Drosophila melanogaster: one gene and its partners. The protein of the gene in region 3 interacts with the protein of the main gene of each other region in a pairwise test. Each region holds a gene or a part of one and is shown on either strand. Other genes may lie near its edges.

What was found.
Region 1: the proteins of CG1986 (region 3) and RpS15 interact in a two-hybrid assay, tested with the Drosophila melanogaster proteins (one large-scale study listed by BioGRID).
Region 2: the proteins of CG1986 (region 3) and CG16926 interact in a two-hybrid assay, tested with the Drosophila melanogaster proteins (one large-scale study listed by BioGRID).

The regions. Positions count from the first base shown.
Region 1 is NT_033778.4:16,568,566-16,575,039, forward strand, and holds RpS15 (ribosomal protein S15), read right to left. Parts: upstream 2,666-6,474; 5' UTR 2,633-2,665; coding exon 2,624-2,632; exon of another isoform or gene 2,447-2,623; coding exon of another isoform or gene 2,441-2,446; coding exon 2,352-2,440; intron 2,284-2,351; coding exon 2,061-2,283; intron 1,820-2,060; coding exon 1,694-1,819; 3' UTR 1,547-1,693; downstream 1-1,546. Other genes in the region: CG4945 (uncharacterized protein), read left to right, coding at 1-479, 594-1,238; CG4927 (uncharacterized protein), read left to right, coding at 3,543-3,804, 3,877-4,084, 4,637-5,255; Lst (limostatin), read right to left, coding at 6,336-6,474.
Region 2 is NT_033778.4:19,498,749-19,505,122, forward strand, and holds CG16926 (uncharacterized protein), read right to left. Parts: upstream 2,671-6,374; 5' UTR 2,305-2,670; coding exon 2,181-2,304; intron 2,112-2,180; coding exon 1,968-2,111; intron 1,892-1,967; coding exon 1,776-1,891; 3' UTR 1,547-1,775; downstream 1-1,546. Other genes in the region: CG15120 (uncharacterized protein), read left to right, coding at 871-1,042, 1,153-1,302, 1,371-1,531; CG11007 (uncharacterized protein), read left to right, coding at 4,440-5,255.
Region 3 is NC_004354.4:9,906,998-9,914,443, forward strand, and holds CG1986 (uncharacterized protein), read right to left. Parts: upstream 4,130-7,446; 5' UTR 3,959-4,129; coding exon 3,765-3,958; intron 3,638-3,764; coding exon 3,483-3,637; intron 3,425-3,482; coding exon 2,948-3,424; intron 2,836-2,947; coding exon 2,447-2,835; 3' UTR 1,666-2,446; downstream 1-1,665.

The DNA of each region.
Region 1 (6,474 bases), on a different chromosome or scaffold from region 3:
CCAGCCACGATGTTTGGCAGTTTGGCATTGTGATTTTTGTGTGTCTAACTGGCTGTTTGCCCTGGCAGAAGGCTGCCTCCGATGATCCGCGCTATGTGCGCTATCTGGCCTGGCAGGGCGGACTTATGATGATGCCGCTGCGGCGAACTCCACGACTTTTCAAGCTGCTCACCTCGAATGCGCAGCGGATGTTCAAGCGCTTCTTTGCCAGGATCTCCAATCGACCCAAGAGCCTGGCCGATGTTACCAAGTTCCTAGACGACCGATGGCTGGCCAAGACCGCCCAGAAGGAGATGGCCGAGTACGAGACGGACGAACTGTGCCCCTCCATGTACTCCTTCCACAGCAGCCCGGATGAGAAGAACAAGCTGCTCTACACCCTGGCCGACTGCGGTATCGAGACCAATGTGGACCGGCAGCAGAAGAAGAACCGCATCAAAGACTGGATAGAGTCGTCCATCATTACGGAGGAGGACGAGGTGAGAGTTGGCATAAGGAATGGGGTTCTTATTGGGGAGGTGAAGTAACTAGACAGAAATACCTACCTAGCATAAAGATTGGTTACATGTTAATGGCCGCCAACTTTGTTGCAGGAGGAGAACGAGGAGACCAATTCGGCATCCCCATCCTCGTCGGTCTCGCGCGAGCCGCTACCCGGGCATATATCGTCGCTGCGCAAGCCCACAAGTCCGGCGGAGAGCGCAAAGGAGATTAACAGCACCCTGAAGGACGCCACCCAAAAGCACTTCGATCCACGCACGGGTGCACTGCAGCAGGGACCCAGCGAGATGGGTCAGGTGGCCATGGCGTATTCCAAGTCGGCCAGTCCCGCCTCCAACTACAGCACCACAGCGTCCACGCTGAACAACGCGGACAGCCTAATGACACTGGGCTCGCGGCAGGATCTGCTGGCCAGCAACCTGACTATGTACACGTCCATGGAGACCGAATTGAATCGTCTAGGTGAGGCTGATCCTCGGCTGAACCAGCGCACCCAGAGCAACAATCCCCTGCTAACCACCTTCGATGTGAACACCAATCCCGCCGCAAAGAACTCAATTGGAGTGGGCACCCGCGGCTCCAGTCGCAGCATCCTCAAATCCTCCATAGCCACCGCCGCTTATCCCGCTTTGGGCGCTTTTAACCACGGCCAGAGCCACAGCCTGCAGCAGCTCAACCAGCACCTGCAAACATCCACGGGCCTAACACCCAGCAAGAGCTCCTTCTTTCGGCGATGACAAGACCGCCGACTCTAATTGTCACTAATAGTCATCCTTGCCGCACTTTCAGAGCTTCGCGATGCCCGGCACTCGAGCTACGCTAATCTCCCATATGCTTCTCAAGTTAAAGACAGTGCCTACGGATCGGTCGATGTCAGCGAGATGGCGGTGGCGGCCAGCAGAAGTCCCTCGCTGATGAAGGACACCGCCTACGATCGCACCACCAGCTCCAGCAGCCACAACATCGCCCGGCGACAGCGCAGATAGCTTCCCAGGGGGACAGACGAGCGGCCACTGATTTAAAAGTTCCAATAAATAGATAACGTACATTTCTTAAGTGGCGACCACTCCTTTACTTTTGGAAAAGCATTAGATGGAAAACGCAACGCAGACGAGGGGGGTGTGTTCTTATAAAAGTACGTTTCATTTATTCACGCATCATTCATCTCAACAGCCCAAAAGACGAGCAGCGCTCACTTCAGAGGAATGAAACGGGAGCTGTGGGTGGCACCGATACCAGGACGACCGTGCTTGACGGGCTTGTAGGTCAGGGCGAACTCGCCCAGGTAGTGACCGATCATCTCGGGCTTGACCTCCACCTGTGGATGGGGGAAAATGGGGTGTTAGTTGTGTGGATCTAGGATCTAGATGGGGACATTGAGAGGGGTTATCTTTTAGAGCTCTCTACCTAGTTTGTCAATCACTTTCAAATGATAATCTTCATCTTCTTAGCTCCAACCTAACCAAGATGCATGAGGAGCATTTTGGCGGGAACAAGGATTAGCGATTGACACACCATGTAGTGCTCTAAAAAGTTGTCCTTCTCTGTTTCACTCTTACCTGTCCGAAGTCCTTGCCGTTGTAGACGCCAATGATGGAGCCGGTCATCTCGGGTACGATGATCATGTTCCTCAGGTGGGTCTTGACAATCTCGGGCTTCTCATTTGGCGGTGCCTCCTTCTTGGCCTTGCGCAGCTTCTTGATCAGAGCCATTGGCTTGCGCTTCAGTCCGCGGGAGAAACGCCTGCGGGCACGGCTGTGCATCAGCTCCACCAGCTGGTTGCTAAATTGGGCGAAGGAATCACATTTATTTGCTGATTACAGCGGGCGTTTTGGGGGCTGGCAACTCACTTGGGCATGTCCAGAAGCTGGTCCAAGTCGACACCGCGGTAGGTGAACTTCTTGAAGGTACGCTTCTTCTTCAGATTTTCATCGACTTGCTGCATAGAACGAAAAAAAACACCGACATTAGTTTCACATTCAGCCGGTAAATCGCGCTGCGAAACTCCAGAATAACATCAGCAGCCGTGCAACGAAGTCTTCTAATGGTGTTTCGTATGGCATTTTGTTCGATACCCGCACGGATGCCGAGTTTTTCATTGGATTTTTGTATAGATATTTACATCGGCCATCTTTTTTGGTTGCGCACAAAAACGGAAAGAGATTTAAAGCAGTGTGACCGCGCAAACGTACGCTAAAAATACCGGCTGAACAGTGAAAATATACTACAAATACCATCGTGATATTTTAGACATACCGACACAACATAAAAACGGATTCTACATTTACAAAGTTATTTATTAGTTTTATTAAATATAAGTCAAACTAATATCAATTTATCGCTTCTTGGATGTTCTTTTCTATCTTCAATATGTACTATGAATTAATATTTCGCGATGTTTGCTTAGTTTGTGAAACTTAGCTACGGGATCAGCTATAAATTTGCAGTGACTTTTGGCGGCATTTAAATTATATAAATTTCTTATTCTAAGAACATACTCATTGAAAAGTTATTTACTAATTATAAATGTGAATAAAAATTGTTTACAGGTTCAATATCAAGTAAATTTCTGCTATTTATAACTCATTTATGAAATCATATTGTTATATTTGTTATGAATAGATCAATTTGTTTTGCATGCTTTTTTTGCAAATTATTCAATTAGCCACGAACGGTCTGCCTAATTTTAGGGTAGGGTGGAACAAGAAGAAATGTGTTCGATTTTATCGATGTTTCCAACCATTCTGCTTGCGGTACAAAAGAGTGGCATCACTGACAAGGTGTGTGAATTCGCTAACTAAAAAGTTTTAAAATCTTGTTAACATGTCAAAAAAGATAGGAATAATAATACCACGATATCTTATTAATAGATTCTGCTAACTTTTTACTTAATGCTTCTATCAGCTTTATACAATAATTCCCATAATAAAAAATGGTATTATGGTCTGGTTTCTAAACTCTCATTATTACTTATCCGCTTATCAACTAACTTTCCAAGTTTTTATTTTCGGTGGTCAGTTTTGAAATAGTCGTCGTCTGAAATGCAAGTGATATTCGGGATTCTGTTAATCTTGGCAGTAATATGCAGTATTTTATCCGAATTCTGCGATAATGGAACTGGAGAGTGCAAGGAACTGAGTGCCACGGATTGCCCGTCTATATTCTTCAATCTGCATCTAATCAGAAATTTTGTGAAATATTGCGATAAATCCAACCACATTGTTTGTTGTCTGCTGCCCAACAATATGCAACCTCAATCGCAGCAATTCTCCGCAAATATTGGCCTCAGGAGATTCGAAAAGGGTCAGTTTCTGCGACAAATCATCTGTGAAATATTATACATATATATATATACATATATATGCATCCAAACAGAATGCCGTCGCTTCAACGAGATAAGAACTTCCTGCCGCACCACTCCCTTCATTGTGGGCGGCGCCAAGGCCGCTGGCCGGGAATTTCCCTTCATGGCGCTGCTGGGTCAGCGTGGGAAAAACTCATCACAAATCGACTGGGACTGCGGTGCCATTATCATCCATCCCAAGTTCGTGCTCACCGCTGCCCATTGCCTGGAAACCAGCGAGTAAGTGGAATTTAATTGAAATGCTAAAGTAATCAGAAGAATCACTTAGAAGTTGATTAAAATAACAGTGTAATTAAGACACAAACATGAATAGTAATAAATATTCAACAAAAGCAAAAGTCAATAAATTCCTTTCTTAAAAACAACTTTCTTTATTTAGCTACTAGCTTTAATTAATTTACATCACTACACTTTTTAATTTAATTTATTAAAAATATGTTAGACATATAAATTTAATTTATTTAGCGCAGCCTCTTATTTGTCGCTTGGAATTTAGTTCAAAAAAAGTTCAAAAAAAATCAGCATAAATTCGCATCTGATTATCTGAATCCATTCGTCACCGCTAATGCGTTTGCGGCATAAATTAATTCGCATAATGGTATAGAAAATAATGGTCTAAATATATTAAGACAATACAGATAAAAACATCATGTTTTAAACATTGTTTCCCAAAATCTTTCCTACGTGGAAATAGGAATTTGGTACAAGCCAGTTTTGACATCAATCGTTCATCCAACTCAAATAGTGATTTAATTTGTTGATTTACCTCAGGACCAAGGAGCAGCGTCTGGATCCCAACTATGATGGCCCCAAGTACGTGGTCAGATTGGGCGAACTGGACTACAATAGCACCACGGATGATGCCCAGCCGCAGGATTTCCGGGTACTCAACTATGTGGTGCATCCGGCGTACGGCGAGGATGATGACACGGGCAGTCGCAAGAACGACATTGCCGTGGTGGAGCTGGAAATGGAGGCGACTTTCAGCGAGTATGTGGCACCTGCCTGCCTGCCGCTCGATGGCGGAAATGAGCAACTGCAGGTGGCAGCCGCCGGATGGGGCGCCACCTCGGAGAGTGGACACGCCTCGTCGCATCTGCTCAAGGTGAGTCTCGATCGATACGATGTGGCCGAGTGCAGCCAGCGACTGGAGCACAAGATCGATGTGCGCACCCAATTGTGTGCGGGATCGCGGTCCACCAGTGCGGATACTTGTTATGGCGACTCCGGCGGTCCTGTCTTCGTGCAGCATCCCATATATTCGTGCCTGAAGCAAGTGATTGGCATCACCTCCTATGGATTGGTCTGCGGTGTCCAGGGACTGCCCAGTGTGTACACCAAAGTACATTTGTATACCGACTGGATCGAGAATATCGTGTGGGGCGAGTAGGCATCAAAATATTTGCCCAACTCATTCGCAACTTCAACTGTTTGGACATTTACTTAATGAAGATTTGATATTAATGAAGATATTTCATGAATATATACATTCTTGGCATTCGACATTCAATCAAGATACGCGATGATTGGTTGCAAGTAAACGTGTGTGCTTCATTGGATCATAAATATTTATATAGTGAGTTGTGGCCATGCCATGTGGCAGCTCGCAGCTGACTTCCGTGCTTTTATTTAGCAAAATACATTTTAAAATGCAAACTTTAAGTGCATAATTATAGCACTTTAGTTACCATAGCAATAAAAACTATCCTTGGATCTACTCATCTAACTACTAGCTATTTCAGCATGATTTCAATTTGTTTTATAACCAGCTGCAACTAACTGCAAGTGAGTTTTGTTATTATATTTATATATATATATATTAAAGATTATTATTTATGATGTTTTGCTGCTGAAGCAAAAAAAAGAGAAGCGAAAGCCTCAAACATTTCGGAGGATCGAAGAACTTTTGACTGCAAAAGTCCAAATTTCATATGCTAAACGAATTCAGAAAGTAAAAAACCTGAACGGCAGAGTGATTAAAAAAAAAAAGCCAGTGAAGATCCGGTTAATAGCCTTTCCAAGTGCAATGCGAAGCCAAAAACTAGATCTCGAGCCGGTCACATGAGTTCATCTCACTCATTCCGATCTCATTCTGATGAATAAAAACGGCCCCCGAATGAAAGTAAGAAAGTAAGAAAGCAGCATTTTGCATTTTGATATCAGTTTTGTTAGCTTTAATCAAACGTCGCGATAACAAGTGGCATAACAAACATTTGGGCCTTAATCTACGAGGATGTGTTTGTGGTTGTGATTGTGGGTGTTTGGTGCGAATGTGTATATATATATATATATTATATAATATTTAATATGATGAGTGCTCCATTCTCTTTCTCTATATTCGTGCTGCAGTGCATTTGACTTAGAACTAGGACGCATCGAAAGTGGCTAAGTGGCTAAGTGCTAGAGGACCCTGTAGAAGGCCAAACCAAACCGGATTGGCTGGATGGACACTGGATTCGATTGGAGTGTACTACACCCGCTGCAGACGGTTCAGATCGTGACGCCTCTGGGCATTCCTGTCCCTGATCTCCTGCTTCCGAATCTCCTGCTGCTTGTACACGAACAGCGGCCGAAAGACGATGGCCCGTCGCGGACGACTCAGCTTCTGG
Region 2 (6,374 bases), on a different chromosome or scaffold from region 3:
ATATGCCATTGTCTATTTCCGGAGTTAGTAGAGCTCCACGGCTGACGGGCAAGCGATTCCGTCCGGAATGCGACTACTGACATTCAAAACGTCGCACCGTCCAACTGTCAGTCAATTTCCCATGGAACTCCGCTGCAATCGGAAAGTTATGTGTAACCAATTCCCACCCACCTCGCATGAGTGTGTGTGTGACCCCTTTGGCTGGTTCAATGTCACAGACCTTGGATGGCACTCCATATTCGATGTGGAGTCCACATATGCGGCGTATGTCATTTGGGTGGTGCGTTTGTTTATCTAGGCCGAAATGCCGTCGTGACAGGAGAGTGATATGTGAGTGACACTGCCTGATTTACGTCACGGGGTCGAAGGTCGATGTTGGGGAAACCCATATGTGAGGCTCACGCAGCTGCGATGCCAGCGATGTCGCCTTTGACTTAAATATAAAGTTGCTGTCTTCTTAAAATCAAAGTAAAATTCCTATTCTGAGTCATTCAGTCATATATGCAATACAATCTGGTTAAGATAGTGGGTTATATTATAACCCTTTGTTAGCTCAAATCAACTAAGCTAAGCTGGTAACTATACTCAAAGCAGACTCTCGAACAAAGATTAGTCTAGACTTAGCACTGCAAAGTCTATAGGCAGGTACAGGCCCATTTCTCGATGTGTTCTAAAAATTTTCCACTGACAACGTAAGCAAACAAAGAGCATCTTAATGGAAATCAGCTAGGGCGCCTAACCGGCATGGCGTGCAAATGTACACTTGCAAGACTTGCGCCACCGCCGGTACACGAACCAATTTCGAACTTGGAGCGGCTCTATTCACCTTTGACCCGCCAACGGTGTCACCTCTTCCCGTATCTCGCCTAGGTGGACATTGAAAAGCTGGACTACAGCCTCTATCTGCCGCTCTTCTTCGACGGACTGGCGGAGACGAAACATCCCTACAAGACCTATGCCCGCCAGGGGGTCACGGATCTCCTCTTGGCCGGGGGCGAGAAGATACACCCGGTGATACCGCAATTAATATTGCCGCTGAAGAGTGAGTACCAGGGCATTGGCTGGCACGCAAATGCCTCGAAGTTTTTCGGTCTAATTTGCACCTTGCCAATGCGAGCACAAAACCAAAACCAAATACGCCCCCATTTGCAGACGCATTGAGCACACGAAACCTGGAGGTAATGTGCACGACATTGAAGATAATCCAACAGCTGGTCATGTCCTCGGATTTGGTGGGACCCGCCCTGGTGCCCTTCTACCGCCAGTTGCTGCCCATGTTCAATGCATTTAAGGTGAAAAACTGTAGGTATTCCACTAAACTCGATTACTTCCAGTAACTTCCATTGAAGTGGATATTCTGTGCTGTATAGTAAACTGCGGCGATGAGATCGACTATGCCCAGAAGAACAATCTGAATCTGGGGGATCTGATCGATGAGACGCTGCAGGTGCTGGAACTGCATGGCGGCGAGGATGCCTTCATCAACATCAAGTACATGGTGCCGACCTACGAGTCCTGCTATTTAAATTAAACTACGCCTCATGGTCTTGTCCCTTTACATACAATATCATAAGTATTTATTGAATTTTACAAAACATTACAGCATTAAATAGATATTTGTTACCAAAGTGTTATGTGCGTTTAAATCGATATATGCTTGAGATTATAGTTGTGTATATATAATATATAATTGATTTTGACCAACATCCTGGTGGGGATGCTAGTCGCGTTTGGGGCACGTCAGCTGGAAGCGAACGTGGCCCCACTTTAGGTCATCACTTGGTGGGGGCGTACTCGTTCTTCTTCACATTGTGGGGGGAATAGCGATTGTACAATCCCCAGATGGAGTTCATCAGCTTGTCGTTGTACTTGTTGGGCGAGTACTCGCGTTCTGGAAATGCAAAATTGATGCGTATGAGCTCCATTGACCCAGCGGATCGAGATCGTGGATCGTCATGTGCACTTACGGGTTAGGGCGTTCCCGTTGTCAACGGAACCCTTATCTGCGGCAGCGGACCTCAGACGGGCGATGATCAGCTCACGTTCGTTGAATTGCTCGCGAATCTTGCAGGCTGCGAATGCACCTTGTGGAATGGCGGCCATCTTAACAACTGGAGGCGGAGGAGGAGCATCAAAAGTTAGTTATACATTGTAAATACATGGCTAAAATCACCACCCACCACTTAGGGAAATAACGCTCAGAAGGGAGATGATGAAGTCAAAGTTTCGCAATGGGCTTGTATTCCAGCACTCGGTGAAATGCTGATCGAGATTGATGATTTTTCCGCACTGCTGCAGCAGCATTCAAAGGCCAAACTGAAAGTCCGGAAAAAGTTTGTGGGATAGGGGATATTTCGCTTAGATCGAAATGTGTCCCAGTTTCTTTGGTTTTTGTTTTTTATCACAATTTCAACTATGAATCAGATTAGGCCAATTGGAATGGTTAGCTTTGCACGATGGATTTGGCATTTGATGCCTGTCGTTTTTTCTGGGATTTGCTCGATTGTCTGCGATTGTCTATGTCTGCTACTCGGAGATGAACACTCAGCACAAGGGTTCGGATTTAAACTGAAGACGTCGCCTGGCTGGGAATGGAATTTATAGAACGCGTGTTCGGATCGGATCGGTTCGGCTCGGAGCTGCCGCCAAGTGATAAGCGGGAGACAGGAGATCAGGCTGCCTTGATAGCGCGATTATAAAGCCGGCAAGTGATCGCCATTTTGTGCCACTTATCAGTTGCAGTTGTCATTGTTTTGGTTTTGCCTTTTTTTTTGTCATTTCCACACACAAGCCTATTTGTTTCCAAGCTCTACGGGAAGTTTCGATGGGGCTGGGAAGTAGATTTGTGTACTTGATATGGCTATCAGAGCCCTGGATCTATAGACCAGTTTTGCTTTTTAGCCGCAGCCAAGATGAAGGGCTCTCGTTCCCATCACGAGTGTCCCTGTACTCAAATGGCTGACAATCTTACGAGACTTTATTCCAAACCAGATTAATCCGGCTGCCAACACACTATAGCATGCTGGCAAAGGCATTTGTGATTATAATATTATTAAAAACTGACCTAAGTGCACGTTGTTTACTGAAATTTTCACTTCATTTTTGTTTTGGCGCAGACAAGGTGCAAAAGCATCAACACCTTAGATTTGACTTTGATTAGTCATGATCTCGGATTTTCGAAATATTTTCTGTATTGATTCCCTATTTCATTTCTATCAAGTTGTACAAAACAGTGCACTTGAAAAAATCTTATTTTGTTTTAAGTTAATTGTTTTTAATATATTATTACCAAAGACACTAGAATTCTTATTCTATTGTCTTATTCTAGTGTCTTTGTTAATACTTTTTTTACTATAAAGTGAATGATTGGTTGAATTTAAATATAAAGCCACGAGAAAGTTGTTTGATTCGATAAGGAGGTTACTAATAACACAGTTGAAAATATTCTATAAATAGAAGCAAGCTCACTTTATTTGCCAGTGTATTGAACATAAAATAATCGCTGTATAAACAAAGAACGGCCTACTAGTGAAACCAGTAAAGAGGTGGGTGATCGATCCGATGGGGATCATGGAGATGACCCTCGTAAATTGGTCTCAATAATACGATTAAAAATAAATCGTTTAGTCCAGTGACGCGCACAGTGTTTACTACAAAAAAATTAATCTTTGCACAACGCGGAGAGTCAGCCACGATGGCGATAATACTGGTGATGCTCTATGAAGTGGGTACAAAATTCTCACAGTATTCACACAGTTCCAAACACATTTAATTTAGGAACTACAAAAAAAAAGGCCAAAATAATATTTGGGTGATAAGGCGACTGATGGAAGCCACGAGCGTCTGAGATCACGTAGAGAGCCAAGCTTTTTCGCAGATTTGAACTCGGCGTGTGTGCCGATAATGAAGATCCTCGATGCCTTTTTTTTACCTTTTTTTTGCAGTGGCCTTTGTGTGCTAGGTCAACAATCTCTCAATGACTTTAGCAAAATGCTGATGTAACAATAACTCGCTTATCAGTTTCGGTTGGTTTTCGGGCAAACAAATATGGTTGTCCCAAGTTCTGTTTATGGTTTTAACTTTTGATTAATTATCATTTAAAAAAAATGCTAAATACTAAATACTAAATACTTGTAAGATAATAATGCATATAAGTAAATAAAACGTATCAAAGAACGTTTAAGAAAGGCAAACTGTTAATTGATGATTTTGAATTTGAAAAGGCGCCAACGAACTAATACCATTTCCAGCACTGACAAGAGTGCCACTGTTCTTTTATCAGGTGGCAACGCCCGTGCCAGACAACTAGGCTGCTAATTTCTAGTCAACGGCGAGGCTAAAATTAACAATTGGCTGTCAAAAGCAAGAAAAGAAAAACTCGGGAAATTGTTAATTAAAATCGTGACCCAGATCAGCGCATTCAGCCCCCGGACGCAGAGATGACGTGGAAGAAGCAGATGGCTCTGCTGGCCAAGCCATACTACTGGGTTAACATACTCCTGGCCATATCGTACCTTTTGGCCAAAAAGACGCAGTTCATCTGCACCCGCCTATTTATTCTCGCCGGAGAGGATGAAGCATGCGACCTGGACAGTCGTGAGGTGGAAATCTTGTTCTTCCTGCTAATCGTGGTGATGATACGGTCACGCAAAACGGGCAGTGTCACCATGATTAACTACTTGGCCTCGTCGTTCCTCTACACCAAAGTGGCCAACGCCATTTTGTGGGCCTACGCGGACTTCCGCTACGGCCTGGGCTTTCTGCTTCTATGCGTCCTGGTGGGCATGGTGCTGCCGGAGCCCTCGTATCGCGGACCCGAGCACATCACCTACTTCCGCAACGCACAGGTCTTCGAGGAGGAATTGGCCAGGGACAAGCGAACCAGCTGGCTGATCTGCTTCTACACGGTGTGGAATCCCAGCTGCGTGAACTTCGCCCCCGTTTTTGCTGAGCTCTCCGCCGAGTACAACACGGACCACCTGAAGTTCGGCAAGATTGACATTGGACGCTTTCCGGACGTGGCCCAAAAGTATCGCATCTCGGACAGCAGCTTCTCCCGACAGCTACCAACTGTGATCCTGTTCCAACAGGGCAAGGAGACGGACCGCAGGCCCTGCGTCGATTCCAAGGGTAAACTGCAAAAGTTCTTCTTCTCCAGCGACAATGTGCGCGCCACCTTTGGCCTTAACCAGCTGTACAAGGAGGCCATCGAACGACTACCCATTGCGCCCAAGGAGGCCAAGAAGGTCCAGTAGGCTGTCCTGTCCACCACTGGTGCCATCTCATTTCTGCGTGCACGTGCTAATAACTGTTATTCGTTTAGTTCATAGTTTATTTTAACTTATTGAGGAGCTGCCACCGCCAAAGACACGTACAATTGCACTAATATTTGCATTCTAAACTCAGACGTGCTCTCGTCGCGATGCCATTGTAGAAAATATTTGTATGATCTTGCATTTGCATAAATTGTAGCTAATCACCAGGTACCAAATATATTTAAAAATGTGAAATGAGTCAACGAAAATACGCAGTTCTTTTTTAATTCCCAGCCGAGTCTAACATTTCATTCAATTAGCACAGCTCAAACGATCATTTCCGGTGCTCGTTTAAGAACAAGTAAATATTAAGATGGACTGGACAAGCGTAAATTGAAAGAATGTAATAAAGAACTTACGCTGTATACAAATAGCTAGTAAAATAGTGAAAATATAGAGAATGAATATATAGTTTCAGAAAGGTGCCCATACTGGTTTTCGGTACAAATGTATATAAAGTGTTTGTGACAACCCACAATTTTATGACATATTTATTGTATTTTATACGTTCTGACTTGCCGCTTAAAACAGAAACCTTCGTCGTATCCCCCCGGTTTATGAAATATAAAACCAAATGGGCCCGTTGTTGCTGCCAATGTGTTGAGCAAAATTGTATGGCAATGCAAATGGCACAACAAAAATGTTTCCGGCGTGTTGCGTTCTGTTCCGAAATGGCCCCGCAGACATCGGCCATATAGACAGATCGTATATGGATATATATATATATATATACATAAGAACCCAACAGGCCAGACGCAGAACGAAATAAACGCAAATCCCTTTTATCCATTCAATATGAACACACATACGTATAGAGAAACGGACGAATTTAAATGCATAAATACAGGCGACTGCACACCAATCACCACCCACCGCACACCGCCCACAACCACCCCCCACAGATGTGAGCAAGGCCTTTGTGGTTAATATTTGTATTTTTCTTTACTTTCATTGAAACGGCATGAAAATGGCCATTGCATTTTACGTGAATTGTATATGGTAAATAATGCGATTGTCTCACACGGCCGTTTTATTTGCGGAAAATTTAAATTCGCCATG
Region 3 (7,446 bases):
GCAGGTTTTCCCATTGACGATGTCTTCAGGAATTGGGGAGTTGGACGTAGCAGGGAGTTGGACGTCGGACGTTTACCGTTGGATGAGGACGGCACCTGCTGCGAGTTATTTACAGCCACTGGAGGGCATTCCTTTCTTTCCTCGCTTCCACCTCTCCGGAGTACTTTTTTTTTTACATTTTCCACAGGAGCAGGAGCAGTTCGTCCTTGTACAGCTATTACACATTGCCGGAAGCGTTTGAATGTGTTTATGTGTAAGCGTCTATCGCTCAAGTTGCCTGCTGGCCTCTCTCTCTGTGCAGCCCTCTATACCTCTCTTTCTAGTCTCCATTCTCCAGCTGCTTTCCATAACAGCAACTAAAATGTTTCCGTTATTAAGCTAAAGAAACACTTAACTTTGCGCCAGGATCAGCAAGGACGTCAGGTGCAATGAATAGAGAGGGCGGGCTAGGAAAGAATGAGAGGGTAGGATAGAAAAGAATGAGACGGCCGAAGGAAAAAGAAAGAGAGGGTCTTAGAGTTAAGGACCATGAGAATGCACGAAACTTTTGAGGTGTTTAAAACGTTAATTTGCTTTAGATTTTACAGGAGTTTCTTCCCTGTCTCTCTCGCACACCACTGCAAGTGTGTGTGTGTGTGTTTGAGTGTGTGTGTAAGTGATTTTCGCATTAACGCGTGCTACTTTAGCGGTTCGAGTCAGCGGAGCACAAAAAACTGCTCCTTTTCCCTCTTGTTCCCTTCCCTTTATTCACCTTTGCTTGGTTGCCCAGAAATTAAGGGCAATAAAAACAAATAAAACACATATACTGCTTAAACGGTATAAGTTTAAAAAGAGCACTTAAATTTCATGAGTTTTTCATGAGTTTATTATTTTCCATTATGTGTACAAGGCTCAAGGAATTGTAAACAGTTTTGTATTTATGTGTCTTAAAAGTTAAATGTTGTCAAATGCCATTCACCATTTCACCATTTCAAATCTAAAAGGTGCGACCGTTTAGATAATAGTTCTGTGTGCTGCTTTTTTTTAGAATTTCATTCAAATTTTTTCTTATCCTGTTGCAACACTAACAACACTAACACTTGACCAAAAGCCACACACATTCCATTGGCTTTCTCTTTCCCGCTTTCGCTATTCCTTGAAATCAACTTTCATAATTAAATGGCGAGTCCGAGCTTCCTATTCGCCCTCCCTTTCTCCACCACTACTGACACCTCTCTTGCTCACTCTCTCTCTCTCTCCCACACACGTGCATGCATAAAACAATTTAACACTTAACGTGGCCAGGAGCTGGAAATAAAAAGCGCATAACTCATGCGAAGAAGTCGTCGGCGGCAGCGACGCCGGCAGAGGCGACGACGCCGCCATAAATTTCAAAAACAGCTACAAAACAGGAAGCAGCAGGCGGAGCAACAACAACGATAACAACAACAGTGGCAAGGAGCAACGGGAAAAAGCAAGAACAACTCGAGTGGAATGTACAACGGGATAGCTGCACTCGACGAAAAAACGTTGTAACATATAAGTAGCGGACTGATTAATTCAAACAACTAGTTTAATAACAATATTATTAAAAAATTAGGATTTATATTTAATGTTTGTTTATTACATGATATTTAAATAAATTTTGTACTCAAACATATGACTTAAATAGTTTTTTTGATTTTTCTACTAGAGTACATACTTATTTTTCCGGTGCTGTGAGAGGGGCGCGGGGGCGGGGCACGGCCGCAATGGACTGCAAAAATATTAACTACCTTTTAGCAAAAAGCGGGCCAAGCTGACGTCAAGTTTTGTAGAAAATTATGTTTTACAATGCGAAAATTGAATTTCAGTTTATTGTTTTCTGCTGCTTGTTCTTGTTCCGCCATTTTCCATTTTCCATTTTCTATTTTCTTTTTCTCTCACAATTTTGCTTTACGATTAACTGTTAAATGCAGCCGACTTTTCGCCGTTTTGTGGCTGCAAGTCAACGACTTTTCCATGTGTGTTTGGCCGTTTGGCTTTCTTGTTATTTTTTATGCAGTTTACAAGAACATGGCGAAAACCGGCTGGCTGCCAAATTGAACGGAAATATTTACTGCTACGTTCGTTAAGAGTAAAAAAAAAAATAAAAACGCTCTAGAGATTTATATTCTTGTGAGAAACTTCGGCGAATTACGATGAACTCGCTAGAGATTTTAAGTAAGCTTAAGTATCTTAAGTATCATCTGTTTTTTTTAAGGAATATTGGTTTGTGGGAGTTATAAATAGAATCGCAGCACAAAATAAAGTGAAATGAAAATACATTGTTTTGTTAGACATATTATTACAGTAAACTTTATCCAACAATGTGCTGTTGATTGTTGATTAACCCTTAGGCTGTCACGTCTCTTTTCCATCATAAAATGATTGCATACATTTAGGCTGCGTTTATTTTAACACTAACAAAACACTAGGAACTACTTATTCACGCACAGCGATCACTCTCTCTGTCTCTGTCTCTTCGCTGTCGCTCTCTCGCTCGCTCGCGCCGCCGCCAGCTGTTCGTCCAGAGGCGCAGCACCAGGGGGCTTTGGCTAACCTGACTGACCTTGCTCGACGACATTCGCCCCACCCCGCTCAGCCAGTTGGTCTGACGCCTCGGCACGTACGGCTGCTGGGGGGCGGTGCGGAAATAGAAGCTACCCTGCGCACGCCTCTGCGAATGGATACCGAAGCGCGCCTTCCGGTTGCCATCGCAATATCCGGCGGCGAATTCCCGGTAGCTGCCGCACTCGTAGCCCACGAACGGGTACTCGGGATCCATCGATTGCCGGAAGAAGATCGCAGCCGCCGAGTGACTGCAGGAAACGGGATCTGCCGAATGATAATGGTTTGTATCTTATTTCATAGCTCTTCAGCGAGATTACATATTAAATAAGCGGCTTATCTTTGAAATAATCCTATGATATAGATGGCCTTGACTTACTGGTATTTTGCATGTCACGCAGATTGGCGAACATCTTGCAATTCGTTTGCGGCGCCCTGCCTCCGTTGGGATAGAAATCGGCGTGGCCGCACTTCAGACTGGTGCCCAAGGAGCCGCCGGAAGTGTGAAGTACCTGGACGAACTGCGCATCTCCTGGATCCAGGCGGTACTTGGGCGCCACCTCGGCGGGCAGCGAGAACAGCGGTCCAGCGGGATCCAAGCCTATGATCTGCTCCACCTGACCCTCCAACACTGCGCCCGCATATCCAGCGGCATGGGCACCCAAGCTGTAGCCCGCCAAGGTCACGTTGCTTCGATGAAAGTGATTGGGACGCAGCTCCTCCAGGGCCATGATGATTCCAGCCACCGTTAGACCCACATCGAAAATGGACATGGATGCGGACTTGTAGTCGTTCTGCGACAGATTTCCCCAGTCCACAACGCACACATTGTAATTGGAGTCGAATAGGGTCCAAGCTGGGTATAAGAACCGAAATTCGAATGATGATTATGTGGATAAGGTGAGTATACATACTTAGCAATAACTCTTGCACCCAATCCTTGCTGCCCTGATCATTCCAGCCGTGCAAAAATAGGGCCAACTTTTTGTTAGGATCGAGGCGACGAAATCCTCGAAGGTCTCCAAGCTGCAGATTGAAATGCACTTCATTACCAAAATCCTTAGCTGATCTGGAAAAAAGTCGAAGTTCTTAGCTAAAAATACGCATTTATTATGGAAACTATAAAATTGTTTGAAAAAACTTTAAAATTGAAGAACAGATGAATAAAGCTGAATACAAAACCTACACCCACTTACATGGTGCGACACTCGAAGACGATGCCATGATTGAGATGGGCACGTTCCAGGCTATTCCGGAGCATGGTCTCCTGGAGATAGCGGAAGGCCTTCATCATGGGACTCCAGCGGTGGAAAGCCTCGATTCTCGGCACATCGCCGAGCAGGCAGAGCAGGCAGCCAAGGAGCAGAAGGTGGTTCACGTGACCGGGCATGCGGTCAAAGGGTCATGCACCACCGAAAACACCACACACACTTGCACACTCACTGTCACTGAGCAACACCAGAAAAAAAAAAGAAATAGAGGAGCGAAGAACTGGGGGAGTTAACCGAGATCTTAAGACACGCTCTTCTGGACCGAATGGTTTGCCCCGTGGCTGGCTACTGAAGAACTCGACTCGCTTGTAACTCCAAAAGACCCGTGAAGACGATGATCATCATGACGCTGATGATCGTGATGGAAAAGTACACTTGGGAAAATTACAAGCAAGCATAGTAATGGTTCTGAAGAGCACTAGAAATAATATATTAAAAGATCAGATATAAATATGTATAAAGTATTTCTTAAATATATGAATTTTATAACTTAGTTTAAACACCTTCAACAGCATTATGCCTTGAGATACATTAATATAGCACAGATGCACAGTACATGAATTTCTCGTATTTTCGCGCAGTGTATGTGATGCTGATGACCCTGCTCTCCGAGAGCTCTAAACATCTTTGGCGTTCTTGGCCGCGTGTTTGCACAAGTGAAAGTACAAAAAAAGCTTGTAACGACTTTTTGACTTCGATTTCGATTTCTTTCGGCTGGGAATTCGGCTTTGGGTTTTTCGGTGTTTGGTATTTGGTATTCGGTACTCGGCACTTCACTGATCTTGACATAGAATCCAGCAAACGGTAGCGACGAATTTCTGTCTTGTCATGGCTGTTGTTTATAGCTTATAGTTTACTTTGGCAGCTGAGCAAACCGCACAGCATCGAAATCGATAATAAAACCGAAAGACAAGGCGGCGCATTCAGGCCTCATCTCGGATCGAATAGGTTAATTTTAGTGCAGCCATAAACTTCAGAGGGAGTTGATCTGGGCACACGCTTTCTCGATGCAGTGAGAGAAAGGGAGTTGTCAGCAGAATGGATGTAATCTTAATACTTAATACTTAAACATCATATACTCAAAAACCTCTTTACATACTTGAAAACTATGCTAATATTTATTTTCTGATATTTATTATATTTTAAGTGATTTGATTGCCCGTCGATTTTTTTCAGTGCCTTTACGACAACCCAAATGGCGGAGAACTTACAAACTTTGACCCAAAACGCTGTTTTTTTTTTTTTTATGTCGCGCTCATAAAATATGTTCAGCTCACAAGAGATAAACCATAATATAATCCCGCCCTCTGCCGCCCCTCGCCAACCGTATTATTTTTATCTTTTTGGCCGAGCTTTCTAACCAATATGTGTTAAACGAAAGCAAAGAGAGAATAACGCTAATGATGCGCAAGTAAAGTGCCAAACGAATTTCGTTGTCTTCGCCCCATTGTTTTTCATCTAAATCTTGGGAGAGCCCCAAAGCTTCGTCTTCAAATCGTCCACTATCACCATTTCTACTTCCCCTCTTTCTTCTGGCTTTGTTTTGGCGATTTCTGCTTTTGGCAGTCGATCGATTTGCATATCTATCTGTAGCTTCTTTCCGCTGTCCACCTGTATTTCTGTTTATCTGGCCTCAATGTCAACTCTATGTTCAACACTATCAATTCGGCCGAAAAAAAATGTATGGTAAAGACGTGCCGATTGGAATGTATCTCAAAGTTTGTAAATTGAATGATAAATGCCTAAAATGAAAGCTAAACAATGATCAATGCTTAAATGAATGATAGAAGAAAAGAACACTGGACATTAGGTCTTGAAAAATGCGTTTTAAAGAGATAATAAACGACTTTAAATGTAAAAAAAACTTTATATACTACGGATATTGTAATAAAATGCATATAGTTTGTATGCATGAATTTAATTTGGTTCTTGGCGAAGTGGGACAATCGCTTTTCCGATTAAATATTCATGAATGATCAAAAGTTTTTTGTCCGCCCCCCAAATGCTCGCTGAATTTTCCCAGCCATTTTCTTCGAGTTTCCTTTCATGCACTTTGGAGTTTTGCTCTCCTTTGTTTTGGCCATTTTCTTCATGTGGCTCTATCATTAAGGCAGAGTGCGGCTTAATTGTTGCCGCAGACAATGGCTAGATTGTTATTAGGAGGGGGGGAGGGGCCAAAGGGGCTGTGATGCCCCCAAAAGGCGCCCCCAGCCGCCTGCTTTGCCCACAGTTGCGTTGCCTATTAAGCAGCATCATAATAATAATGTGTAACAACAAGAGCAACAACAACAGCTGCTGGCAATAACTTTTGCATATACGTATGTATGTGTGGCCAAGCAGCTTATGTGTGAGTGTTTGGGGACGCATTCAAAGCAATTTCCACAATTTTCGTATTGTTTACTTAATTAATTCTGCACAAAGATTTTCATTTGCAACTGTGTGCGAGTATGTGGTGCTCGCAGATGTTTTGTGGTTATTACAGCAAACCAACAACTCTCGTTCAACTCGGGTGTACTCACACCACACCAACACCCAACACACACCACCCACCACCCACCACCTGTCACCTCAGCTCCTATCACACCCTTCATCCAATATCCATTCGGGCAGACAAAACGCGTAATGAGTTTATAACATTTAATGAATCCAAAGCCAACCGCCGCAGCACAATGCGGCGTATGCGTAATGCGACCGACTCTTAGCAATGCGACAGCTTAAAGGCTCCTTAAAGTATGCAACAAGTCGCCGACGAGTGGGAATAATTACGGGGTATTTCCCAGGATTTTAATTAGATTAAATTCATGCAGCAGACTTGCTGGAACATAACCATTAGCTAGCCAGGGCTCACCATTTTCATTTAGGATATTTTAATAAAATTATAAATTCAATTGGAGCGGCTAGAAATTAAGGAATATTTGGCAGTACCATATTGGTTAGATAATTGTGTTCGAAGAGGATTAAAGAAAGTTTTTAAAATATTTAAAAGAAATAGAAATACTGTTCTTTATTTATACTTTATTATAAACCAACATCTGCTGCTCCATTTTCATTTTGCCCTGCCACGCCTCCTTTCTCTATATTTTTCCATTTTCAGGCTTAAAATAAAGCGAGTTCAAAGTGCTCGGCGTTACCATGTGAGTGGGAGTGGAGTTCGGTTCCTGCTTTCCTATTTTCCCGGCTTCAATTTTCAGTCTTTTCAGGCGCAGGCGATGGTGTGGGCGTGGCAGCAGCATTGACTTTCGATTTGTTGTTGTTATCTTCCGCGAAGGGAAACTATTTTACCGCTCAATTGATTTTGCAATTTATTTGCGCGCATTATGCGAAGGATGGTAGTTGAGGGGAATTGGGGAAGGGGGGGGGGGGCTGTCTATATAGACGCCAGGATAGATGTTGATACTCACACGTGTCCTGGGCCTTGAGAACGTAGCAAGGAGCACAGGAGGTTACTGGTGGCATTTTCAATTCTATTTACTCCCAATAATCATCATCAATGTCAGTTTCGCCAGCACTAAAATGAAAATAAAAACAAGCCAGGCAAACAATTTTTGTTTTCCTCCCAAGTACTCGATACTCGATACTTGACTAGCTACCAAAACAACAACAACAA